Linked DNA regions of Saccharomyces cerevisiae S288C. The gene in region 2 interacts genetically with the main gene of each other region. Each region holds a gene or a part of one and is shown on either strand. Other genes may lie near its edges.

Evidence for each region.
Region 1: mutations in YSA1 (region 2) and HSU1 together harm fitness more than expected from each alone (negative genetic interaction), as found in Saccharomyces cerevisiae (2 studies listed by BioGRID).
Region 3: mutations in YSA1 (region 2) and NQM1 together harm fitness more than expected from each alone (negative genetic interaction), as found in Saccharomyces cerevisiae (2 studies listed by BioGRID).
Region 4: mutations in YSA1 (region 2) and FET5 together harm fitness more than expected from each alone (negative genetic interaction), as found in Saccharomyces cerevisiae (2 studies listed by BioGRID).

The regions. Positions count from the first base shown.
Region 1 is NC_001144.5:20,553-29,036, reverse strand, and holds HSU1 (cystathionine gamma-synthase), read right to left. Parts: upstream 5,469-8,484; coding exon 3,741-5,468; downstream 1-3,740. Other genes in the region: YLL056C (uncharacterized protein), read left to right, coding at 732-1,628; JLP1 (sulfonate dioxygenase), read left to right, coding at 2,043-3,281; glutathione transferase GTT2, read left to right, coding at 7,198-7,899. UniProt on the Saccharomyces cerevisiae protein: Plays a role in inorganic sulfur assimilation during sulfur-limited conditions; catalyzes the conversion of O-acetyl-L-homoserine (OAH) into homocysteine in the methionine biosynthesis pathway.
Region 2 is NC_001134.8:460,678-463,847, forward strand, and holds YSA1 (ADP-ribose diphosphatase), read right to left. Parts: upstream 1,197-3,170; coding exon 501-1,196; downstream 1-500. Other genes in the region: SUS1 (Sus1p), read left to right, coding at 1,462-1,532, 1,613-1,752, 1,823-1,902; transcription regulator CYC8, read right to left, coding at 2,193-3,170.
Region 3 is NC_001139.9:577,550-585,204, forward strand, and holds NQM1 (sedoheptulose-7-phosphate:D-glyceraldehyde-3-phosphate transaldolase NQM1), read right to left. Parts: upstream 3,888-7,655; coding exon 2,886-3,887; downstream 1-2,885. Other genes in the region: BUD9 (Bud9p), read left to right, coding at 1-1,581; MTE1 (Mte1p), read left to right, coding at 1,927-2,742; RME1 (Rme1p), read right to left, coding at 5,441-6,343; YGR045C (uncharacterized protein), read right to left, coding at 6,385-6,747; TAM41 (putative phosphatidate cytidylyltransferase), read left to right, coding at 7,346-7,655. UniProt on the Saccharomyces cerevisiae protein: Transaldolase is important for the balance of metabolites in the pentose-phosphate pathway.
Region 4 is NC_001138.5:43,601-52,238, forward strand, and holds FET5 (ferroxidase FET5), read left to right. Parts: upstream 1-5,538; coding exon 5,539-7,407; downstream 7,408-8,638. Other genes in the region: phosphomannomutase SEC53, read right to left, coding at 28-792; ubiquitin-specific protease OTU1, read right to left, coding at 1,055-1,960; LAM5 (Lam5p), read right to left, coding at 2,120-4,144; YFL041W-A (uncharacterized protein), read left to right, coding at 5,134-5,325; YFL040W (uncharacterized protein), read left to right, coding at 7,750-8,638. UniProt on the Saccharomyces cerevisiae protein: Iron transport multicopper oxidase, which is required for Fe(2+) high affinity uptake. May be required to oxidize Fe(2+) and release it from the transporter. Essential component of copper-dependent iron transport.

The DNA.
Region 1 (8,484 bases), on a different chromosome or scaffold from region 2:
TCACGTCCATACAATTGAGTTGTGCTGATTAAGGATTTCAAGGGCGAGCGCGCATCTAGTTAGCCGAAGGAAAGCGGGCTTGGCATCTGGAATCTGTTCATTTTTGAAGTCATATGATTTTTCATGCCATATATTTATCACAACGCAAAGCATTTACAACCAAGTAACCAATGAGAACGGTGGCCCCGTGATAAAACCTCACGTATGACACACTGGAACATAATTTTATTGTTTTTCACCTCTTAGTGTTTTCTCTTTCGCGAGGCAAAATCTGAAGACATGAAATGCAATACTCTTATGCTGCGCCAATGACGGTAGCACTAGGGTATTGTGACGTTATGCAAAAAGAGAGAGAAAGAACAATATGAAAATAGAGAGGACGGACATAAGTCTTCCGTGGAAGAAAGAAACCATCGTTTTTGCAGATGAGATTCTTTTTCCAATGCGGAAATTAGCGGAACTTCTCAACATAATAGATTGTGCTGGAAAAAGTTTAAAGGGAAAGCCGCGGATTTAATTTGCCATTAGTTCTTGGCTTTCCTGAAGATATGATTACTAACACAAGGATATTAAGGAAAAAAAGTAGGCGATGAAGACCCTCAAGTACTCAACTAACGTATAAATAACGGCTCCCGCTTCTATCAACTATGCTTACAATCACTCTTGTATTCATAAGCGCTAAGGCGTGATAACTCAACTTTTACAAAAGAAAATAAAAAAGAGATCAAAAAATGAAAGTATTTATAACTGGTGCTTCTGGCTTCATTGGTTCTGCCGTATTATCTGAACTAATATCCTCGGGTCATGAAGTTGTTGGCTTGGCAAGGTCAGACGAGGCTGCTGCAAAGATTAAGTCGATTGATCCTGCTGCAAAAATCCTTCGCGGTGATCTCAAGGATCTGGAAATTTTGAAAAAAGGTGCCACTGAATCTGATGGCGTTATTCATTTAGGATTTGTGCATGATTTTAAAAATTTTGAACAGTGCTGCGAAATTGACCGTCAGGCCACTGTAGCTATGCTAGAGTCACTTAAAGGTTCTAACAAGCCTTTCTTATATACGAATGGTACACTTTCTTTGCGACCAAACAAAGTTGCTAACGAACAGGATGGTATTGATGAAGATTCCAAAATTTTGCGTGCTGTCACTGAACAGGTTGCCTTGAGTTACAAAGACAAAGGTGTTTCAGCAAGAATTGTCAGACTCCCATTCTCGGTTCATGGCAAGGGGGACAAGGCTTTTGTACCAATATTAATGAATATTGCCAAAGCTGCCGGAAAATCTGGCTATGTCGGACAAGGCACAAACGCTTGGGCGGCTGTACATCGTTTGGATACGGCTCCTCTGTTCAGACTTGTTTTAGAGAAAGGAAAAACAGGACAAGTGTATCATTGCGTTGGTGAACAAGGTATACCATTCAAAGATATTGCGCGTGTGATTGGAGAAATTTTGAATGTTCCCGTGGCCTCTATCCCTGTTGATGACGCGGAAAGTCATTTTGGCTTCCTCACTTGTTTTGTCACTAGAGATGGCCCAGTTTCAAGCGAAGGTACCAGAAAAGAGCTGGGATGGCAGCCACAACAAATCGGTCTTCTTGAAGATATCCGTGCGAACTATAGCTTAAACTGACTTGAAGCTTATATTATGCGTTTTTTCTAAGAGCGCCATAGCATGTAACGTTTTTTACATACTAGTTAGCTTTATCTATATAGTCTACTGTGCAGCTTAAAATACCCAACTCATGCGTCTCATTGGACGAGCTCTTGGCCCTTGGAAAGGTGCTATATTAGTATATAGGGGAATGATGACAAAAGCCTCAATGTGGCTTGAGTCGATTTCTTATTTGGCGCCACAGGGCACATGGAGTTTATTTATCATACTACTAACATAAAGAAGGTATGTAGGCAATACAACAAGAATGCTGGAAAAGTTAAGGAGTCAGTAACAGTTCTTGATGACAGAAACATATAAAAAGGTGTACTATTGCTGTATAATCGGCCCTTTCATACTTGTACAAACATAGCACAGTAACCCAGTTAAAATATGTCTCCTGCAGCAGCTCAAACAGCAATCCCTCTTCCATCTACCGATTTACCAGTCAAAATCATTACAAATGGGTTGAAAAACCTGAATTATACCTCCAAGCAAGGTTACGGGAATTTTGATACCCATTTTTATGATGGCCAAGATGAGGTCTCTCCATCTGGTTTATTGAAAATCCGTAAATCTTATAGAGAGAAATCGAAGTATCCAGATTATTTGCCTACATGGGATCCTACTGAAAAGTATGGCCCGCTGGAATTTCACGAATACCATGATCCTGCTTTGAGAGCTGACGGTAACTTTTCAAACCTTTTTGCAAAAGAAAACGTTGGTCAACTAAAGGTGAAGAAGATCACCCCGAAATTAGGTCTCGAGATCAATGGGATCCAGCTAACTGATCTTTCTGATGCTGCAAAAGATGAACTCGCTTTGCTTGTCGCCCAAAAGGGAGTAGTTGTCTTTAGAAATCAGAATTTTGCTGACGAGGGACCCGATTATGTGACTGAATACGGAAGACATTTTGGCAAGTTGCACATTCATCAAACTAGTGGCCACCCTCAAAACAATCCTGAGCTGCATATCACTTTCCGAAGACCTGATGCGGAAGAATTTGCAAGAGTTTTTGATGACTCGACATCATCTGGTGGCTGGCACACAGACGTCTCTTACGAGTTACAGCCACCTTCTTATACTTTCTTTAGTGTTGTTGAAGGTCCTGATGGTGGTGGAGATACGTTATTTGCGGATACGATCGAGGCTTTCGACAGGTTGTCGAAGCCTTTGCAAGATTTCTTGAGCACGCTTCATGTCATCCATAGCTCAAAGGAACAGGCAGAGAATTCACAGCGCCAGGGCGGCATAAAAAGAAGAGCACCTGTCACGCATATTCATCCACTGGTCAGAGTTCATCCTGTCTTGAAAAAGAAATGCTTGTATGTCAATCGTGCATTTTCTAGGAAAATAGTCGAATTGAAAAGACAAGAATCTGAATCACTTTTGAATTTCTTGTACAATCTAGTGGAGAGCAGCCATGATTTACAGTTAAGAGCCAAATGGGAACCTCATTCCGTCGTCATTTGGGATAACCGCAGAGTTCAACATTCAGCAGTGATTGATTGGGAAGAACCAATTCACAGACATGCGTTCAGGATTACTCCACAAGCGGAAAGGCCCGTGGAAGATCTAAAGTTTTTGAATGATGAAAATTATTATCCTTCTTCATTAACTTTGGATATTTGAATTTCAAAGATGCAGGTTGTATATAGCCGGAATTCGTTGCAGAGGCAGTTCCAACGTTGCTCAACTTATTCTTTTTTTTGGTTAAAATTGTGTATAAACCTTAAAATAGCGGCGACAACACTTCTTTTTTATAGTTTATAGTAAACCCCAACCTGTGTACATATAAACTAAAGAAAAACTGTGACGCTTTTATTCTGGTAAAGAAACTCTGAAGTTACAGATCAACTAATTCAGAGCGATATAATGTTGAAGTCAATAAGAAGGAACATCTTCAGTTTATAAACAACTAGTGATCTTATGAGCTCTGTCTACTTTCATTAATTAAGATCCATGTGAAGGTTCCAGAAAAGACTTCCTCCAAAAAAATTATATGCTAGAATGGAAAAAAACTTTTATAAACAATATTCTATAAAGATTATAAAGAATTCTTGATTTTTGATATTCTACTCATGATCTGCTTCATGAGTGTTTGGAGCCTCTGCTTTTCACAACATCTAAAGCACTTGAAAAAACTTTCAATAACCACTGGATATCTTCTAAACCTACGCTTACTCTAATAATGTTGGGGTCGGCCCCAAACTTGGAAACTTCTTCTAATTCTGAGTGGTGCGCCAGATGGACATATGGACATGCTAAGGTAAAGTTAGTACCATTAGAAGGTCCCTTGAATACCTTTAAAGAGTCATAGAATGCTTTTGCATCGCCCTCATTGAAAAAGGCTACAGAGAACAAGCATCCATAGCCACCACGTTCATTACGTACACTTTCGTAGTTCTCAAAGGTCTCCTTAGAAGTAACAGTTGGATAATAAATCTTTTTGCATATTTTCCCCTCCTCGGGTAAAAGCAAATCATTCAACAATATTCCTGTGTTTGCATTAGCACGTAAAGTTCTATCTTCAAAATCCCTGGAATTACGTTCTAAAACTATCGCATCTTCACACCATAACAAATCCTCGAAATTAGCGCTCCTGAAGTACTCACGAGCATATGGATACAGAGATGATTTCGGATTTAAAACGACAGAGCCGCCCATTACATTACTAGCACCATTGAAAAGCTTAGTCAGGGACGTGCTGACTATATCAGCATAGGGCAAGATGTCAACGTTAAGGCCCCCAATAGTATCATCAATTACAATAAAAAAGCCATACTGGTCGGCCAAACTCCTCAATTTTTTCAAATCCGGCATATTCAGCAGAGGATTTGAAGGTGTCTCGACGAAAACGGCAAGAATGCGTTGTTTGCTTGTTTCTAAAAACTTTTGTAATTCGACAACGTCTCTAGAATTTCCAAATCCAAAAAATTTACATTTTCCAAATTTAGTCATAATGACCTGCGTATCTTTGAAAGGGAAGCCGAAGATGCCAACAGTGTCACATAATAATGGCTTTTTCTTTTGGTCAGAGGTGGTCTTGTTTAATGAATCTCCTGAATTCTTCTTCTCCTCCCAAAAGGTGAGTAAATTACGAGCCGTAGATATTGCAGACATGCCACTTGATACAAGATAAACGTCTTCATTTGGGTTGAGGTTGAGTCCCTCCCAATTCGGGGTTTTCTTCTCCAAACCAAAGGGCCTGAAGCGATTCTCAACTATCCTTCCCTTTATCAGGTTCTTTGCTTTCTCCTCCCCCTTCTTTGCTGCAAAAACACCAGCCTCTAGCTCACGCAATACCTGCTCTGAGCCATGATTAGCGCAGTCAAGAAGTTGGTTGACAGACAACGCCAATCGACTAGATACACATTCACCTCTTAATTTCCAATACTCTTTCACAGTCTCGAACTCTTCCTCCGATGCAAGGACAGCAGCAATGGTTAGCACCAATTCCGCCGGTTCTTTCGACGTTTTTGCCCCACGGTTTTTAATCGTAACTGTTTCCACTTCAAGGTGAGCTTTACTTTCAGGTCCTGAGACAGATTTTACGTACTCGAAACACTTTAAACCCAGGTTAACGGATGGAAAAGGACGACAGTTTTCTGAACCTCGCCCAAATTTCTTAACAAAGTAAGCACAAAGCCTCTGGACGGGGGGTTGAGGAAAGTACCTCGGATATCCTGTAGCCATTTTGCCTATTACCTCTGGCACCTTTTCCGCATAGCCTATTGCCGAATCCCATGTAGGAATGCCAAAAGAAACAGCATAGTCTAGATTGCTGGGAAGGGGTTGCCCAAATTCAATTTCCGTCATAATAATTTCCACGATGATTAATAGTTGTTCAGTGGTGGTTGAGTACTAGATTTAAAATTTATGTTTTACCGCACCAGAGAAGAATCACTCAATGCTGGAATTGATGAATTGCATCTTGACAATAGGCATTAATATACTTTTTCAAACACATCATTGTAGTGTGCGGCATAACAACCGTGGCGCGTGTCAAGGACTTCTCGGAACACATGCTAAAGCTCCAGTCTCTATCCGTCTATTCTTTAATTTGCTCGTTTAAGAAAGAATAAAATGCCGTATACAGTTATTTCTTCCGTAAATAAATCTTCTTCAACATCCTTTCTTGAGAGCAGCCACACAAATCTAGAGGTGTCTGACTTAATGCAACACAAGGTCAATCTGAATTCAAAGCTGTGGCTGCATATTCATTAAACATATCTTTGAAGGATATCATTTTAGGTATTGCATTGAGTGGGCTTTTGAATCAAAGCCTAAAATGGGAGTATTATGAAAGCAGAGTAAAAATGTTCAGCACGTTGATCTTGAAAGCAGACGGAAAGTCTTATTAGATGAAATTAATGCTGAAATCTCGAAACTGTTCGCTCAGCTACCATGTGCATGTGTGTGGTGTTGGTATATTTTAGTATACTTCTTGATAAAGGTACCAAAGTACTGTATACACATGATAATAACTGGTTAGTCATCCTGGTGTTTTACTTCTTGGCATTCGGCTCGATCATGAGGATTTCGGGCCGAACCTGCTCCGAAGAAATGAAGAAATCTTTCGGCCAGGCATCATATCACAATGGGTTGCAGAATTTCTCGAAGGAATCACCTGTAGGAGTGAACCTCGAAAAAAAGAAAACACATATTTCATGCTGCATCATCCTTGCAACACAACGCTTCCTGCAGAAGTTTTCGAACAAAAGGCTTGGCAATCCTCACTTACACCCCACTCGCGAATCCACATTTTCACGTGAGCTTGCAACAGAGAATAATAGCGGAAACTTTCCCGTATTACTTAGATATCATATCTTCAGACAGCTAGATATCGAAAATGGAATTTTATTATGTCAAGTTCTGCAGGCGCTAATTATTGTTCAAGTAATGTTTTCGTGAGTCTAAAAGCTCGTACAATAGTTCTTTTTTTGGAACCCATTATGAAGCGGAGTGGATGAATAATACGGAATGAAAAGGGCGATAATGGCAAACAATTACGAGCAAAATTCGATGGATGCCGTATCACATTTGCGACAAAAAAATGATCAAAGATGGTAATAGAGTAAAATTTCACGAATGGAGGGCAGATACAAGAGCGAGATGCCAATAGATCGCAGATTAATGCAGCTGCATTTTCATCAGAAAGAGGTGCGCGTGAACTGTAGGAACAGTAGTGCAATTGGGAGTACGTTAACCACACATTTTGAAATCAAGAAGGAAAGTAGGCGCTGGAAATGACCCGAATCCTATAATCGGACAAGAAGGACATAGAAATCGGTATTTACAGTAAATATTCAAAAGACCTTCTACTACCGTGTGCAAAACAGGGAGTGGATACAAGTGGTTTGATCAAATGGAAGTATTTGATACTTCAGTTTCTCCGTTCCGTGTCCGTTCCCTTAGGTCGCGCTTAGTGCTCGAATTTCTTTCACTGCTTACTAATTCATTCGTTTACGTCTCAAATGATTAATAATGTGCTTCCTGCTAAAGGATAGAAACTTGGTGCTCTATATAAAGTACCTACAAAGGATACATGAATGGCAGAGGTTTCCTGATTTACAATGGAGGTGAAAAGATGAAACAAAAAATGATAATATATGACACACCCGCAGGGCCTTATCCGGCCCGAGTCCGCATTGCCTTGGCTGAGAAGAACATGCTATCAAGTGTGCAATTTGTGAGGATCAACCTCTGGAAGGGAGAGCACAAGAAGCCTGAATTTCTTGCCAAGAACTATTCAGGCACAGTGCCAGTGCTTGAACTTGATGACGGGACTTTAATCGCTGAATGCACAGCCATTACTGAATACATTGATGCACTTGATGGTACACCCACTCTTACCGGCAAAACACCGCTGGAAAAAGGCGTAATCCACATGATGAACAAACGCGCAGAGTTGGAACTGCTCGACCCTGTTAGTGTTTATTTTCACCATGCTACACCTGGATTGGGGCCTGAAGTCGAGCTTTACCAAAACAAAGAGTGGGGACTTCGCCAGCGCGACAAAGCCCTACATGGAATGCATTATTTTGATACCGTTCTCAGAGAACGCCCATATGTTGCTGGTGATTCATTCTCAATGGCTGACATCACAGTAATAGCTGGTCTAATATTTGCTGCAATTGTAAAACTACAAGTGCCGGAAGAGTGCGAGGCGCTTCGAGCTTGGTATAAGAGAATGCAACAGCGCCCCAGCGTGAAGAAACTGCTAGAAATCCGTTCAAAATCCTCGTAAAGTGGCTACTTGAGACAAGTTTTGCGTGGTACGTGGAAACTATATAAAAAGATCCAATCATGAAGCTATTCAAGAGGGTGCCATAGCTATATATAACTGATCGAAATTAGGGCTACAAAATTTAGGGGTTCTTCGCGGCGCCATTCTGTCAAGTAAAAAAATAGCTCAAGCAGTATTCTATAAAAGAATATATATACTATATATGTTAATTGTTTGACGGTGAAAGATTAAACATCAATATCATGATTCGTATTCCTTCCTTTTTATTCGTGATGTTGAGTAAGGTACAAAACCATACCAAACCACTGAAGACAATATCCTTACAGGTAGTTACATTTGCATCGATATTGCCGCGGTAGAGATTACTACTGAAATTCTTTGCTGCTTGCCGACTAGAAATTTAAGAAGATTTCAAATATGTTGGAGCTCACAAGGGGTCACTAAAGTTGGTGCAATAAAAAAAATTTAAGGAAACATGAAATAATGTTTGCAATAGAGAACTTCTAAGTCTGAGCTTGTGACACAAACAACTAATAAATTATGGTCACAGCTCATCCATTGGCCCAATGTAAGTTCTTCAAAATT
Region 2 (3,170 bases):
GTTGATAAATATATCCTCAAGGACTACTTCTTTTATATTTCTTGTAGGTGATGTTGTGCCCTCATCGTTAATTTGAATCCCAGCAATTATCAGACAGTTCTGCCGCCCTTCGGCAATGTCCAAGCTGTAGCCAAATACTTAAATCAAGGAACACTAACCATGTATGACATACAAGGAGCACTACCACTGATTTCAACAGATATTAATGGTAGTTTTTTGCAGAATCGTAAGGTAGATCAGTGGAAATAGTAGAAAAGGGCTAGTTTAGATTCAAAATTTGGTAACACGTAACGTCGCGCTTTGGAAAATATACCTCAATGCTGACTACTTAAGATGGCAAATAGCCTTGTCAAATTTCCTACGGAATGTTATTTTCATTACGTCCTTCTTTTTCAATGTACTTATTCATAAATGGGACACTATCTTGTTGCAAAAGGTACTTTGTATTTTGGTATTAACATCTCGCCTATTTTTCATACAGAAACACTACTTATCGCTATCTATTTGATGTGGTATTGCTTGGCCATGAGGATACCTTGAGCTACGTTTTGAACACGTGCATCCAACTTGTAGCCTTGTTGATCCAACTTAACCATTTCATCAGGAAACTTGTGCAACTCAACGCTAAAGCATTCGATAAATTCATTATCTTCCAATTGAGTAACTGGTTTTTGGTTTTCAGGTAAACTCATATCAACTTCGACAGTAACCAGACAGAGGTTGGTGTTTGTGAAACCAGGATCGTTAAAAACTGTTGGGCTTTTAGAAATTATTTTACCACTGTAACCAGTCTCTTCTTTTAATTCTCTTAAGGCAGCAGTGTCAATATCTTCACCCGCATCTATCAAACCGGCTGGCATCTCAATGCATACGCCCTCAACGGGAGGGCGAAACTGCTTTTGTAGCAAAATTTCATCAGGTTTTCCATCTTTGTATTTTAGAATGGTTAAGATACCAATGCCGTCTACACCACCGGAACTTCTAGTGGTGCGGACTGCGCTATCCCATTCCCTTTCCTTCCCGTTGGGATCTTTGTAGATGATTTTTTGTAAACCGATCCACTTGCAGTCAGATGTTTCTTTAACGTGACGGGCTTCAATTATTTTAGCATCTTCTGGTTTACCCTTGACGGTGCTCATAGTTCTAAATAGTCTCCTTGAATTGAGGGAAATAACTCTTACGTTTCTCAAAAACATCTAAGTATGAGAAGGAAGGAAAATGCCGAAAGAATAATCATAAAAGCATATATACGTGATTCATATGAAGGCTGTCTGACGTTGTATTAAACCGCTAACGGCCGTACTTGCCATCCCTTACGGAAGTGTATTCGCTTGCCGGACCTCTTCCTCCATGAAGACCAAAATGAGGAATTATGAAAAATAAAAAATGAAAATTGCCATAGGCATGGCTTGACCAACACATGCGACAAAATCAGAAGTAACAATTCTGGCCTTCACTCCAATGACTATGGATACTGCGCAATTAAAGAGTCAAATACAACAATATCTTGTAGAATCAGGAAACTATGAACTGTATGATAAAATATTATAGGGGTTGTCTTTTTTAAAAAATCTACTTTACTGACTATTCAGATCACCGTCACATTTATTAGAATTTCAAACGAACTAAAAGCCAGACTACTTCAAGAAGGTTGGGTGGATAAAGTCAAAGATTTGACCAAATCAGAGATGAACATAAATGAATCTACGAACTTTACCCAAATTTTATCCACCGTAGAACCCAAAGCATTAGGTATGTGAATATTTTATCACTAAATTTATTGAAAAGAGAACGTTACTAACAGTGGAATTTTTTTTTCTAGAAATGGTATCGGATTCAACAAGGGAAACCGTTTTAAAGCAAATAAGGGAATTTCTTGAAGAGATTGTAGATACACAATGAAGGATACGAAAATGCACCTTAATTCCCAATATTATTACATATGCTCATCGGGAAAACCTTTTAAGCAATAATAGATTTTAAGTATGTAATGATACAAATAATAATATATTTATATACGCATATATTTACATGTGCATATATGAAAAATAACCTAATTCACGTTACCCACCTTTTTTTTTAGCCTTTTCTTTATTTATATATGTATCCACAACATAATGAATGAATTGTGAGCTACACAACATTTCTCGTTGATTATAAATTAGTAGATTAATTTTTTGAATGCAAACTTTTTAGTCGTCGTAGTTTTCATCTTCTTCCACTTGCCTTACTACATTTTCTCTTGGAAGTGTGTTCTCCTGTGGGGATTTTTCTTGAGATGTTTGCTCTTCCTCACGCATTTTGGCCTCCTCTTTCACTGTTTCCATTGTTTCCAAAGTAGGTTTGATTACAGTTATCGTTGTAGCAGCGGTTTCATCTTGTTGTTTTTCAGCATCTCTGGAAGCTGCTGGCTCCGCCTCTTCAGTAGAAGGTGCAGATGCTTCAGTTGTGCCGTTTTCCTCTTTAGAATGCTGTCTTACTTCGTCTTCTACAGGGCTTGCTTCTGCAGGAACAGTAGCAGTAGAAAGTTCTATGGTCTCAGCAGTGCTTTGGTCATTTGCTTTTGTTGTTGAACTTTCTGATGATACAGTTGGTTGGACACTAGATGACTCTGGTTCCGTATTAAGCGGTTTTGTAGAAGGAGAAACAGAAGCTGCTTTGGTAGCTTCTTCAGCAGGACTAGCTTCCTGTGGAGGTTCCTGTGCGCCAATTACTGAAGGTATTGAGTTTGCTTTTACAGGTTTTTCTTCTTGTGAAGTATTATTGGTATTAGACTCCACTACTGCTGGCGATTGGTTGCTCACCTCAGATTTTGCATTTTCTTCAATGGAAGTAGCAGTATTTACTAATTTGTTGATGTTTGAATTTGGAGAGTTCAACTTTTGCTTCTTTACCTGTGGTTCAGCGTTCGTTATTCCTGTTGCGGGAGCTTGCGTTGGAATGGCATGGGTTGGTTGACGAGGAGACTTTGTGTTATTCTCTGTGTGGGTGCTACTGGATACGGCGGCATCTACTAAAGTGTGGATTGCACCTTCCATGTATCTCTTTTGAGGTAAAACGTTCTGTTCCACGTTATGCTGGATTAAAGGTTGGGGAGCTTGGGCTTGAGGCTGGCCTTGAAGTTGTTGTGGATGTTGAACAGATTGTAGTTGTTGCTGTTGAGGTGGCAG
Region 3 (7,655 bases), on a different chromosome or scaffold from region 2:
GCAACGGCTTCATCCGCATCTTTACCTGAGAACGACCACCCAATATTCCATCAACCGCGAGCAAGAATAAGATCTGGTTCGCTGTTCATCGAAGGATCTGATTCATTTCCATCATCAGAAGTGAAGTCATACAATGTTTATATTGATGATAGCAAGTATAGTGAAATCCTCAAAGGAGATACAAATTCAAGTAGTACTGATGGTAAACAAGTCTTTGAAGATGCTAGAGATGACAATTTCCATCAGGAATCACATAGAGATCTAGAGGATTCAATTTTAGATTTAGTACGACGAGATCCAGAAGTAGCAGCATTCCCTTTACCTCCGCCAAATTCAAATGAGAGGAACAGAAATTCCTCAAACGGGTCTTCCGCTGAAACTAACCTAAATGGACACAGCAGCAGCGGTACCATCTCTACTTCGGTGCTGTTGAATATGGGTTCGGCAGAAAAGCACGCTGGGACGACCAGAGGAGATCATATGGAATCATCTTCAATGAAATCCTTCGAGAAACTGGGAACCAGACCTTCTTCTTTATTCTATCCACCACCCGAAGGAACTGCGCCGTACCAGGGACCAAGGGCTACCGTCTCCGGAAATAAGTCTACAAGGCAAACACAAGGTACATACTCATTTCCTTCTATGCGGTATGGTGTAGATCTTGTTTCTCCTGTGGAAGGGGCTGTTGATGTAGCAAAAAGCAGAGTTCCTAACAGCACGCTAAATGGTACTTTTCCCGATAAAGCGTTTATCCCACATGAATTTCAAATTCCTAAAAAGGCCTGGAACAGAATACCAGCGAATAAGTCCACTAGCCTCAAAACCCCAAGAAACCATTCCCTATTAATTGACATATTAAAGCCTTTTGAAGCAGCTGACCTTGCTAATGACCAGCGAAGTTCTTCCGCTGTTTTAAAAAATACAGTGCATTCTAATGGGCAGTATAATCCAACTAATGAAACCTCTGGAACTCGAATGCAAGATCAAAGGCAGAAGAATACCAACGAAATTGATTTAGAGAAAATTCCTAATCCTCAAGTCCCTCTTGGTATCGCAATGGACACCATGCGTAGTCCAAACCAACTACACGAAAAGGAATACGAAAGTAATATAGAAGCTGGTTTAGCTTCTGGGGTCGGAAAAGGTGACAATAGTATTAAGCAACATCAATATAAAAAAATTCCTCAAGAAATTGATCGAGATCAGCAATTAAGTTTTCAAATGGAAACAATGCCCATTCAAAGAATAGATTCCTCCTCCATACGTTCATTTGATTCCCGAATATATGGCTTCTCCGAGATTTATAGTATTCCAAGGGTTATAACTACACTGTGCATCTGCCTTTTTGTTCCGCCCTTATTCTTTTTCTTTTCAATCAATGGAAATAATGGCGTTTCAAATTATAGATTAATGAGAATGATAATGAATTATGAACATAGAATCGGCCTCCTCAAAGGGTTTGAATGGGACATTGACGTACAATGGTTCAGGACATTGTGCTTTGTATTAGGATGTATAGAGATGTTAGCTATCTTTGCTAGCATAGGAATAGGATTTGGTGTGGGAATAATAAGAGAGTAACTCCATGCTGGACTTACTCGTCGAAGATTTCCTGCTACTCTCTATATAATTAGACACCCATGTTATAGATTTCAGAAAACAATGTAATAATATATGGTAGCCTCCTGAAACTACCAAGGGAAAAATCTCAACACCAAGAGCTCATATTCGTTGGAATAGCGATAATATCTCTTTACCTCAATCTTATATGCATGTTATTTGCTCTTATAATTGGTCTCTATTTAGGGAAAAAAGTCGGTTTGAGAGCTTCTCGCGATGTGAAATCTCAATTTGAACTGCACGCCAAAGCTAGCCCATTTCACGAACACCAGAAAGAAGAAATCCCCAAGGATCGCATGACAGAGTATGCTCTCTCATATCGTTGAGTATGAATGCCAATACACTGATCAGCTTTACAAGAAACGTAAAATCTGGCACGATGGTAGACTGAAATACTTTCAGTTAAACAACAGATTCATGCTTTATACGGAAAAGGATAACGTTTTGTTAGCTAGTGAATTTAAAATAAATTCAAAAGAGCTGAAAGCAATTCTAAATCCAGAAGGTTTTGATATTGAAGAACATAGGATTTTTAGTCAGTTTTTGGTGATTATTTCAAATATTATTGAGGAGTACGATAGAGATATTCAAGTGGCAGCAACGCATGTTAGGGCATATCCTTCAAATTTGTCGGTGCAAAAACAACGCCCTCTTATCTCAGACAATGCACCAAGTTTGAATCATATCTCAACTGCGAGAGAAGTTCATTCGAACATAAAAGTCACAACTCCCAATCGCAAGCAGACAGAGGACAATGCCACCAAGGGAGGATTCAACATCAGCAAACTTACTCTGAAGGTCAATAAGCCTTTCAAGAAGCCCAAGAGGATATTAAGTACTAATGTGGTAAATGAATCAAATAGACCGAGCATAAGGAGCCAAAAGATTCAGGAAGTGACACCACAACTACACGAAACAAACACAAGCACTAAAGTGCAGACAGCCGGAAAAGTTGCGTTGAATAATGATAATATTGCGCAAGGTAATTACGCCACGATTACCGAAGAAGCTAAAGTCAGAGACGGTTCCGACAGAAAGAAAGATATGGCGAACCTATCCAAAAGTGGTAAAAGGAGAGTGGGCGGGATACGAAGAATTGTTCACGAACCCCTCGGAATTTGATTATACGTCAGAATTTTAATGAATATATAAGTCTGTACACTATGCTATGCACATATACTCAAACAAATTCAATACTAAGTACCGAAAAGGAAAGTGGTATATATATATTTATATATATAAGTAGGTACCTCTACTCTTAATGATCACATTTTTTCTTCAACCAGTTTGTACAGTGCTTCAATGTCTGCGGAGAATTTTCTGATACCATCTGATAGTTTTTCTGTAGCCATTTGATCTTCGTTTAAAACATATCTGAAATGAGGCTCGTCGTTGATAAAAGAGACTTTTTCGACGCCTTCTTCCTTAGCACTCTCAGAATTCAATTTGTTTTCAATAGGATCTGTTGATTCATATAACTGTTCTAGAAGGTTCAGTGGGAGAGTCATATTATCAATACCGGCTAACGCCTTCAATTCATCTAAATTCCTGAAAGAAGCCGCCATTACCTCAGTTGCATAACCATGCCTCTTATAGTAACTGTATATCTTCTTAACAGAAAGAACACCGGGATCAGTTTCTGCAGTATAGTCTTTGCCTGAAAGGGCCTTGTAAAAGTCCATAATCCTTCCAACAAATGGGGAGATCAATGTGACATTTGCCTCCGCACAGGCTACTGCTTGCGTAAAGGAAAACAGTAATGTCATATTACAATGAATACCATGCTTTACTTCCAATTCTCTAGCAGCTTGGATACCCTCCCACGTAGAAGCTATCTTGATCAAGACTCTTTCTTTAGGTACTCCCGCATCTTTATATAGTTTGATGATGTGGAGAGCCTTCTTCACCGTCGCCTTCTTATCAAAAGATAACCTTGCGTCTACTTCAGTGGAAACCCTTCCTGGGACTACCTTCAAAATCTGGGTGCCGAATTCCACCAAAATCTTATCCATGGCGTTCTCGATTTTCTCATGATCAGTTTTGCCATGCTTTCTACCATATTCAACGGCAGCGTCGATAAACCTCGCATATTTCTCCAACTTTGAAGCAGCCAATATCAGAGAAGGGTTAGTTGTTGAATCCTGTGGTTCATACTTCGAAATAGCCTCAAAATCACCCGAATCAGCAACCACATGGGTCCCGGCCTTTTTTAATTGTTCTAAAGATGAGGTAGCAACTTTTTGTTTTTTCTCTGAAGGTTCTGACATATTTAATTTCTTGTATATATGTGATTATTTCCTATTTTTTATGACTTACGCTAGCAAGAAATAATGATATACTTAGCATAAATATGACTGCGCTGCAAGATTGCTCTTCTTTTATATGTTGTCCACCCCATTCTAGATGGTTAGAAGGATCCACTATGCTCCCCTCATTCGCCCCTACTATGGAAGAAGAAGAGAAGGACAAAAGACGTATTTCGTTACAAGTCAAGAAGTCCGAGGAGTACAAGAGCCAAAATCAGAGCCAGAGCCAGAGCCAGATCAAGGAAAGTAACCTATAATTCCCCGCGTTAACAGTCCAGTCCCTCTTATTGAAAGCTTCGTCATCCTGAAAATCCTTCAACCCAGACCGACTGTTGAAAAGCCCTTTTGTGTCACAAATCCGTAACCATATTACCCTACTAACATCCGGAAATAATTGCCGCTCACTTTAGGGAAGGTCTCTAAAGGGTAATAATCGAGTTGATGAAAAAGCCGCTACCCCTATTTGAAAAATAATGAATAATGGCTTTCTGGCATGAATAGATTTAATACAATGCTGACCTTGAAAATGTGAAAAAAGAAAAAAATTAATATAAAAAAGAAAAAAAGTAGAAAAAGAAAGCTATCTTTTTTGGTCTATTCAACCAGATAGTGTGCATTTATTATATTGTCCCCCCATATTATTCATCAAGAAAATTACAAAAGAGTAATGCCATTTTTCTTCTTTTTTTTCTTCTTCTTGGCTGTACAGATCTTTTTCCATAAAATGATTGATCTAGCGATTATTGTTTCTTAATATTTTTCCTGTCCTGCAATTGTTCTCGAGGATTGCTATATTTCTCAAAGATATTTTCAGGAAATGTGCGTGCGATGTGAGTTTTTCATTGAGGGTATTTAGAAAAATAACCGCCAACGGTGAGAACATAAAAATCTTAGCTGGAAAAGAACTGCCAAAGATACTATTACCTAGAGGGTTCGTAAATACGGTTTGTGGAACCAGGGCGATGCAACTAAAAAACATATAAATTGGAAATTACGAGACTTTCGGCACAAGAAGCGCTAATATCCTACTTAAGTGGTTGAATTCTTGTATGATTAAAAAAAAAAAAAAAAACACCTGTCTTATTTTCAATTTTATGGTACTGACTTTGAGGGTACGTGAATCATCGAAGGAAACATAATTGCACTGATATGTAAACTTCCTAGTTTCAAATGTTTTCTCGGAATACCAAATAACCTCTAGCCATAAGTTTATTTTCAAACTTTTTCCTCTTAGGTGATAAGGGAGATTAGAAAAAAAGAAATATTTATTATTGAAATAACTGTCCAAAGAAGCAAAGTGAATATAGAAGAAAAAATGCGAGTACTTACGATTTTTTATTTAGCTAAGTAACCAACGTGGTGCCATATTCACGACATAGCAAGTGTCCATAGTTGCATGCGTTTTCTTTAATATCATTGTGTTTTATTTTTATTACTTTAAGAAAAAATACAGTAGCTTTCATGCCTGCACAAATTTAACAAGAGTTTCATGGGGTACATTTTTAATGCCTCAACTATTTGGTATTGTTCAAAATTTTCTTCAAACGCTTGTTAAATCTTGAATCAGCGTTGTTATGCACCATGGCCACATGTCTCTTATAGGCGTCTTTGCGCCTAAACGTTTTCTGACAGATAGGAAATGGGCAATTCAGTCCTGGATATTTTTCTACTTTTAGATTTAATGATTTCTCCATCTCTATATCAAGCTCTCCTATATGTTGGGAAGCACAATGTCTTCTCAGACCAGTTGCTTGTTGGAAACCCAATATTTTCCAGGGACATTGCTCTATGGGACACTTACACGGTCTTTCAAGGTTGAATTCGTCTAAGTGCGCGGCAAACTCAACTAACGTTGCGAACTTTTCAGAACAATGAGAACAGTGGTAACTTCCTCTTTTTGTTTGCCCTTCGGAAATTGTGCTGAGTACTTTGGGGTCGTGATATAGCTGTGCCACGTGCGATTTTTGGGGATAGCCTAGAATACACTGTGAATGGGATTGTTCTGTTGTATTGCTCTCAATAAATACAGGATTTGCTCCTTTTTGACGTCCATAATTAATAAGATCTCTGAACTCCGGATCAACTAATGACGTGATACAGTGTGTACTGTCCGCTATTTCATCCGGCCGTAATTGAGGTGCTGTACCTTCCTCAGTAGACGACGTAGAGTCATAAGCCTGTCTCTGATTTCCGGCTATAACTGTGATTGTGTTTTCTAATGATAGTAGTAAACAGTCCTCAGTGCTGGAAGGCAGGCTGGAAGGCAGGCTGGAATCCCCCTCTAAGGGTGATGCCGAATATTCTTTCATGTTTTGCCCGAAATCGTGCCAATGATAAATCGGTTGCACCTCTTGTAAAACCTCTCTGTTCCAAGACCCCTTGGCGATGGCACTGTTTTGTCCATAACACGGTGACATAAGTGCTGAAAATCCCAACTTCTAGTAAAGAATTAACAAATTCAACTGTATGACTTATAGGATAAGAACAATGTCAGTTCCAATGCGTTGACACAGTAGAAAATATATTTACTAAGAAGCAGCTTCGTCGTTGGTATAGTTTCGGTTGATCTAGATATAAATATAACTACAAATAAATGGCAGGAAAAATTGAAGCAAATGACACAGGACATATCTATCACATTGCTCCCTTTAATTTCCTCGAAGGCACTCTGGCCTTTGTTCTCTGCATAAGAAAAAGCCAGCAGAAAATACGGTGATATATTTAATACATGCCCGGCCACTTTTCTGCTGGTAAAGCCCACCGGAAAAGTTCGGATTTTCTTATCCAGTATACGCCGACCTTTTGATGTAATCTGTGACATCTCACTCCGGCGGCCATTTTACGTGACGAAGCATCCCTTACAACAGAAAGAAGAAAAAAGATATGCCGCTTTGCGGTTTCTTTCTGGCAATGTATGCACTCATAATGCTACTCGTTTACCCACTATCCCTGTCCAAACTAAAGAGGGAGGAAAGCACTTTTTGCATTTACACATCGTAGATTATAAAATGATCGTTAACAGGCGCTTGTGATTTTGAATTTAAGAAATGTGGACTAGAGAAGTCTTAAATCGCCAATGCTGTACCAGACTCTCTATAGCATCTAAACACGAAATTCAACTGTTATCTTAGTTTTTCACTTACCAGTAGCGCGCTTGTTATTCCCACGTTATTATTTGCCCCCACATCATAGGTCAAGTGACCTTCTCTTACCCGACATGAATAAAGAAAAGAAAAGAAATCATACCCTTCAGCCTGTTTAGCCATAAATAGTAAAGAGTAGATGTTTCGACGGACTAAATAATGTGAAAAAGGTTCTAAAACCTTCAAAACAATTAAACTTGAGAAACGTTGCTATAGGATTGAGCTAATAATTTGAATTAATAGGAGCTGCTTTTTACTTTGATATATCCTGAAGTTATGTTACGAGTTTCTGAAAATGGTCTACGGTTTCTGCTGAAATGCCATTCAACGAACGTAAGCATGTTTAATAGGCTTCTGAGTACTCAAATAAAGGAGGGGAGAAGTTCCATAGATGATGCTGGCATTATCCCCGATGGAACTATTAACGAAAGGCCGAATCACTACATCGAGGGAATTACTAAAGGCAGTGATCTGGACCTCTTGGAAAAAGGTATAAGAAAAACTGACGAAATGACTTCCAATTTTACAAATTATATGTACAAGTTTCACAGATTGCCCCCCAACTATGGAAGTAACCAGCTCATTA
Region 4 (8,638 bases), on a different chromosome or scaffold from region 2:
TAATCACGTAGCAACCTGGAAATAAAGCTATAAGTTGAATAGTTCAGTCAAAATTTTGACGGTGTCATCAGGGGATTGTACTGAATGTCCGATGGTTCTTTCATCGACAAAAATTTCGTAATCGTTACCACCGACCATAGTCTTGTCACCAAAGAAATGAATTTCCTTGAAACCATCTTTTTCAACGTGTTGCAAACAGTAGGTCTTATCCCAACCAGCGGGGAAAACGTCGAAAGAGATTTGGCCACCAATGGAGAAAGTCAAACCGTAGTCTGGGAATTCCTTTTTCAAAGCTTCAACGAACTTGGCTCTGATTTGGTGTTCCTTATCGTATCTTTCGAATTCGTTTCTTTCCTCAGTAGAAGCATTTCTACCAATTGGGGAAACGTTGATCATACCATTTCTAAATTCCAAGAAAGTACCTCTTCTCTTTGGCAAGTCAATTTCAGATAGATATCTCAAAATGAAGACGGCCAATTTATTGTATTTTTCCTCACCGAGCCAGTTGATGAAGGATTGAGAAGCTAATTCCTTACCTAATCTGTAGGCGGTCAAACCATTTTCAGAGAAAGAATAGTCAAATTCATCTAAAACGTTTGGGCCTAACTGTTCTAATTGCTTGCTTAAGTCAGAACCACCGACAAAACCAATGCAGCACTTGTTTCTCAACTTGGCCAAAGTTTTTCTAACTTCTTCAGAAACAGTTAATCTGGCTGGTGTCAAGGTACCATCAACATCGAATAAAACCAAAGTTTCTGGTTTTTCCTTGTAAGCGAATTCAGCGATACTCATTATTGGTGGTTATATTAGCAGATAGGTAAAAAAGGAGAAAGAAGTACTAAGGAAATTGTCGATTTAGTTTTCGTCAAAGATCTTATACTTTGCCAAGAAGAATAGACGATATAAACAGAAAAATAAGTGAAAAGAACACGTAAAAAACGGCACATTTTAATATATTTCAAATTTTTTTTTCATCAACGACAAAAGGAATGCATTTTATCCACTTTTCGTGTCTCATGACGAGTATACCGATAAACGCCAAATGCGTATTTTATTATCTATTTTGGCCAAAATCAACGTGTCCCGTGGATTCAGCGTGCCTAGCAACTTCTCTTTCACCCACAAAGGTCATTTGGCAAGTGTTGCATTTGATCTGGGCCTTATGAGTGTTGAAGGAATAGCCAGTTTGCTTCAAATTTGAGGCCAGTTGCAAAGCTGCTGTTAGAACATCATCTGATTCCGGCTGGTTCTTGTTGAAAACAGTTTTAAACTCGTTCATGGTCAAGGAATCATAGTGGATTCCGTTGAACAGTATCAAAATGTAGTTGTCGAACTTGTCCTCGTTGAACTTTTCGATTTTAACAGCGTCAATGTCGACTACATAAATAGCTACTGCGAGTGCATCGGATATGATACCAATCTCGATGGCTCCACCCCAAGATTCCATTTTCAAAATCCATTGCGCGTAATCTTTGTTAGGTTTGTCCAATATGGCGTCATTGAACTTGACGGGGTTGTTGAGGACCTCCTTAGAGACCATCTCCCTGAGGTCACGAACGCTATCTTGTTTGAAGATGCCATAGGCAATAGCATGGAACAGACACGAGTTGTCGTCGAGAACAGGATGTACTGATAGGACGTTTTCTCCACTGCCACCAATTGACATCTCAGTGCTCTTCAGCACCCTCTTTGGTTTGGGTTGTGGTGGTGGCAAACTGAAGCTTTCGTTACTATCAGAGGACTCTATTGTAATCTTTTCACCAGAGTTAATACCCAGCTCGTCCAGCTGGGTTTGTCCCAAAGAAGCGTCTTCCCCTTGCAAATTGATCCTTTGAGGCGGATATCCAAACCTCATCGTCTTAACATCTACATTGATATGCTCAATAAGATCATTTAGTGTTGCATCTTGCTTCAAAGTAACGACTTGGTTGATTCCTGCTCCAGTAACTTTCAGTTTCATCTTGAAAGTTTCTTCTCTTGGTTATCTTCTTCAATGTTATCTTGTTTTCAAAGGAAAAAGTTGTTATTTGCCACTGAAATCGGCTTATTTCGCCCTTTACTATTAGTTACTACCATTGCCCTATAGAAACGATATATATTGGTACGAAGAAAATACAGATCACAACTTCAGTTCTACCAATTGCAGCTTCACCAGTTGATGTAATGAGACAGCAATTGAACGTATGTAGAACAGATTAAACAATAGCAAAACGACCACAATCAAGTATAAGAACAACCATGTTTCCATGGTGACCTTGAGACCTTGCTGCTCTGCAATTGCGGGAGCCGTAACAACCGCTTCTCTTGGTTGTTCAAGGTCAACCTCTTTCAACTTATTTTTTACTTCTTTATCATCTTGCTCCTCTTCCTCCTTGCTGATAGTAATTTGGCACTCTTCGACATTGTTCTTGATGAACTTGGAAAGAATACGCTCCATTAATTGCGCAGCCTCCAATTGACCATTCTTGCATCCATTTTCAACCATACCTTTGATCCAACTGGAACCAGTCCATTCCACCCAAAAGGATACCCGTAACAGACACGTTATTTCGTCATTCCAACGGATTAGATACCTTGTCTTAGTTGAGAAACTACCACCACTGGGCACGTTCGGAGTGCGTATGCTACTGATAACCTCATAGTAAGTATCAGGATCTTTTCTCTTTATTACCTCAGCAACATAACATGTCGTGGACTTGGGCCCCGCAGGAAAGTGCAATGCTTTCTCGTATGAATACTCACGCTTCAAAGTCATGGAAGATCCGTCAATGCTCGTGAAATTTGGAATAGTGGTAATTTGTGAACCTTCTTGACCCCGTAAAAAATCTAGAAGAAATTCGTTTTGCTCTGAGTTGAACATGATCTCAAAAAGTATACCAGGTGCACAATCGAATGGTAACTCCTTGAGAACAAACTCGTTATTGGCCATAGGTTCAGCCGGAAAGCTTGTTGAATGATGATATATTGGACCATCATACTGATACGAGGAATCGGCACGCAGTTTATACGCTTTCTCTTTTTCTTTATCCGGCGAGGAACTCGTACTATTGGGGGTAGTCTCATTTGTAGAGATATTTTCATCGTCATTTTCATTAGTGTCATTATCATTAGCGTCTTTATCATTGTTTTCCTCATCGATGGAGTTTATTGCATCATCAATCTCTTTGCCATTTCCTGACTTTTCTGCTTTAGTATTGATGTTTTCGCTGGCCATGTCCTTCTGCAACAAGGTTCTTGACCACACTTCTTTCATTAATCCAAATGCAGCATCCCTGGATATAAAACCATTAAAGAGAGTTTTGCCCATCTTTGTTTCGATGGATATTGCGCTGGGGAACAACCCAGCAGCAGAAGTTTTTTCCATAAACGTGACATCTTCGAACGCAATCAGTACTTTAGCAATCCAACCAAGAACATTGGAGTTGAAGCAGAGATGCGTTTCTGTTATGTATAGTTTCCCCTGGTAAAGCAGCTCTCTATTCAGCCCACAATTAAAATCATCCAGTAGTCTGTCATCTTTAGGAACGGACTTGAATGTCTCATGAAAGTCTTTATTTCTTTGCTCAGACGCATAGTGATAAGGTGTGTCCATGTAACGTTCTTCCACGAATCGTCTATGATCGTAATTGTCTTCTTTCATTTGGGAAGGAGTGAGTCTTGTCTTGACCTCATCAGGCTTTTCCACCTGTTGCAAGGGAGAGCCTATTTCAGCAATTGTGGCATTACTGATACGGCGGCTTGATCTTCTTTTGGACCCCATGGAAGGCTCCCTTCTATGTGATATAATGCTTGGTTGCGAAACTGGCGAAGTTGGCGTAGTTGATCTAGAAACTGGGGATGGCACGTTTGACTTAAACGAAGAGATCATTCCACTGAAGAACGAGGACGTCGAAGAAGTCCTTGATTGATCGTGCTTGATCTCTGTAGGGTGTTCATCGGCGGCACTTTGGTTTGTAATCACTACTAAATTCTTGCGTACGTCGTTGGTCTCTGTATTTAGGGGCACTTCTTGCAGTGACTCAGCTTCAGTATCGCCGGCATTGTCATTGTTACTTGCATGCTCAAAGGGGGGACCCAATTGTTTCACAGAATCAGTACTGTCCTCATTATCTGATACGGGTTCCCAGTTATCTACATCCGACATCACCACTAATCTTTTTGTGTAGTTGCCTTCTTCACCCTTTTCTCAGATAGCGAAATGGTTGAGTGTTTTAATATAATTGTCAAGATGCTTTATGAAAAAGGGTGGGAGAAACAAGTCCCCCTGCTCAGCGATACGCGATCTCTCTGATCTCAGACATAAAGCAAACATTCTATCATGAGTGACATTGAGGATGACGGTAATTGGTAATATCTGACCTTCTGACCTCCACTCAACACAATGCAGAAAGCTATCAAATGTTTTGAACCAAACATGAAAGAGATTCAGAAAGTTGCCAAGCCAACGTGATGTCACAGGTCAAAGTTTAAGTGAAGGCTATTGGAATCTGCGGATCAGACATTCACTACTACACGGATGGCCAGGTCAGCGTAAAGTAACCTGGGAAGCCCATGACTTTGGGCCACGAATCCAACGGTGCTGTTCTTGAAATTGAAGTATCTCAAACTACTGTAAAGCGGGTGATGCAGTAAGCATATAGCCCTCATACCCAAATAGGTTTACCAAAGAGTTTCTGTGAGGCCATTATAGTTTGCAGCTCAACATACCATTTGCTGCATCACTGACCGTGACGGCACCCTTTGTCAAGAGTTCGTGGTTAACGTCGACTGCGTTTACTGATTACCGTTACAGTGAATTTCTAGCAAGAGTCCTCTGTAGATGCCACTATTTGTCGCTCTCCATGTAGTAAGGCCGTCCTAGCTGAAGTGTGGGGAGTAAGCTGTAGTTATAGGTGCTGGAACAATTGATCTGCTGGCGGGTGCGGTACTCAGAGGGTTTGGTGTTCATGAGTACACATGATTCCAAGAAAGAGCAAAATGGACAGTTTATAAACGCTATGAAGAACTGCTATAATCAGAAAAAAAGGAAGCCTGATGGATTCGAGTCCTCAGGTACTCAAAAGAGCGTTGAGAATATGCTAAAATGTGTCAAGAACGGTGGAACAGTTAAGTAGGTTGATATCCACCCCTCGAATGAAAATGTGGGGACCCTCCCAACGAGATTCCTTCAGAGAGATTACATATAAAGTGAAATTCAAGTATGACGATGGTGACTACTCCTTGGCCATTGATTTGATGTCTAGGGATTGTATTAATGTCTATGAGTTGATTACCGATAGGCTACTGGTTGATTTCCTTTCAAAAAAGCTGCTCAAGCTAAGATAGGTAAGGTGTTTATAGAATTTATCGAACTGTATCTAAATATTTTTAATATTCTTGTTTTATTACTTTGTGGCTTTTGTATTCAGTCTGCACCCTGTTTCGCCATCGATTCTTATAATACATACATTTTTATATAAGATCACAGAAAATACGAAGACGTAAAAAAAGAGTTCCGAATGAAAGAAGAAAGAATCAAGCACAGGAAGACAAGAAACGATGTTGTTCTACTCGTTCGTGTGGTCTGTACTGGCCGCTAGTGTTGCTTTGGCAAAGACACATAAGTTAAACTATACCGCTTCTTGGGTAACTGCCAATCCTGATGGATTGCATGAAAAAAGGATGATTGGTTTTAATGGCGAATGGCCACTTCCAGATATCCATGTTGAAAAAGGAGATCGTGTTGAGCTTTATTTGACTAACGGCTTTCAAGACAATACTGCTACTTCTCTACATTTCCATGGTCTTTTCCAGAATACGAGTTTGGGGAACCAGCTTCAAATGGATGGTCCTTCTATGGTGACACAATGTCCCATCGTTCCGGGACAAACATACCTGTACAACTTCACTGTCCCAGAGCAGGTAGGAACGTTCTGGTACCATGCACACATGGGTGCCCAGTACGGTGACGGTATGAGGGGTGCATTTATCATCCACGATCCGGAGGAGCCCTTCGAATATGATCATGAACGAGTCATCACTCTATCGGACCATTATCACGAAAATTATAAAACGGTTACCAAAGAGTTTCTGTCAAGATATAATCCAACCGGTGCTGAACCTATTCCTCAAAATATTCTTTTTAATAATACGATGAATGTAACTTTAGATTTTACACCCGGTGAAACGTATCTCTTCAGGTTCTTGAACGTTGGGCTGTTTGTATCCCAGTATATCATTCTTGAGGATCATGAAATGAGTATAGTAGAGGTGGACGGTGTTTACGTAAAGCCAAACTTTACTGATTCGATATATCTTTCTGCGGGGCAAAGAATGAGTGTGTTGATTAAAGCTAAAGATAAAATGCCTACAAGAAACTACGCTATGATGCAAATAATGGATGAGACGATGCTTGATGTTGTCCCACCTGAGTTACAACTCAACCAAACTATCCAAATGAGGTATGGCCACTCGTTGCCGGAGGCACGCGCATTGAACATTGAAGATTGTGACTTGGACCGCGCCACGAATGACTTTTACCTAGAACCTCTGATTGAGAGAGACCTACTTGCTCACTATGACCACCAAATTGTCATGGATGTAAGAATGGTCAACTTGGGTGATGGTGTGAAGTATGCATTTTTCAATAATATCACTTACGTCACACCAAAGGTGCCTACTTTGACAACGTTGCTTACCTCAGGAAAGCTTGCGTCAGATCCTAGAATTTATGGTGATAATATCAATGCGCAGTTATTGAAACATAATGATATCATAGAGGTTGTTCTAAACAATTATGATTCTGGCAGACATCCATTCCATTTGCACGGTCATAATTTCCAAATAGTCCAAAAGTCGCCAGGGTTCCATGTTGATGAAGCTTATGACGAATCTGAGCAAGATGAAATGACCGTCCCTTATAACGAATCTGCGCCATTACAACCGTTCCCTGAGAGGCCGATGGTGAGAGATACAGTGGTTCTTGAACCTAGTGGACATGTTGTCCTGAGATTTAGAGCTGACAACCCTGGTGTCTGGTATTTCCATTGTCATGTAGATTGGCACTTACAACAAGGTTTGGCTTCGGTCTTTATTGAGGCACCCGTTTTACTTCAGGAAAGGGAAAAGCTTAATGAGAACTATCTGGATATATGCAAAGCCGCTGATATTCCGGTAGTTGGTAATGCTGCAGGTCATTCGAATGATTGGTTTGACTTAAAAGGATTACCAAGACAACCTGAGCCACTACCAAAGGGATTTACTACTGAAGGATATTTGGCATTGATTATTTCAACCATTATCGGTGTCTGGGGCCTATATTCCATTGCTCAGTATGGTATTGGCGAGGTTATCCCTAACGATGAGAAGGTGTACCACACGTTAAGGGAAATCTTGGCTGAAAATGAAATAGAGGTTTCTCGCGGCTAATTAAACAAGAAAATATAAAAGAAAAATGAAAGAAGTTTATATTCATATTGATGATTTGCAATCCTAAAAAAAATGTAGCACTGTAAATACTGCTTACTATTGAGTATTTTCATTTTGTTCATTCCATTCCCTATATAATATTCATACGTAATCAAATCTATTGCTTTTTTTTTCTCTTTTATTTCGTTGTTTTAGCTCTGACGTTGTGACGCTCAGCCAAGAACGTCACAAAAAAAGGATGAAAATCAAAAAACAAAATATTCAATAAGTGTAATATGAGAAGAGAAAAAAGAAAGAACAAGTACAGTTTCTAACATTATACTTTAAAAATTATTAAGCACAATGACAGCAATGAAAGCTATTGTCTGGAGACTTCCCAAGATGCCGAAAATCAAAATTACAAAAACTTATGAAGTTACGAAAATTACGGCGATATTGACACTAGTAGGATTTATAATGGGCCTTGAGGTGCCGTCATTGGCAACTTTTCTCACAAACAAAACGTTTAATGAGTACTTCAAGTATCCAACTCCTTTACAACAAGGTTTACTCATGGGGTCCACCCCCCTGGGTGGTATCATGGGATGTTTTATTTGCTGCATAATGAATGATAGATTCAGTAGAATATATCAATTTCAATCGGGAATAATAATATGGAATATTGTTACGTTATTGAACTTTTGTATTTGGGATATATTAGGTTTACTAATTTGCCGGATGATCAAGGGTATGATCCTTGGGAACTTTTCAATTTTAGTAGCATCCTACGCAAATGAAGTTATCCCCCGCGGCAAGCGTGGAAGTACGATGAGCTATATTCAATTGTGTTTAACCATTGGAATTCTTGTTATGCATTATTTGTGCATTGCATTAAGTCTATGGGATTCTCATTTTGCGTTCCGTATAGCGTGGTGCATAGGAATCATTCCTGGATTACTGTTCTGGATGGCTAGCTACGCTCTACCTGAATCTTATCACTGGCTAGTACTACATGGGAAGATGAGTGAAGCTCAGGAAATTCAGCACAATTTAGCCAAAAAGTTTAATGAAAGCCAGCCAAGGGATGCAGTCCCTGAGATGAGTAAGATCGAATTAGCAGGAGATTTTTGGATTGGAGTTAATGATTTGGACTTCTCCAAAAAATTACCTCGGGGTTCGTTTAAGCCTTTGATTCTTGGAATGACTTTACAGTTATTGGTTCAATTTAGCGGTATAAACATTATCCTTGGTT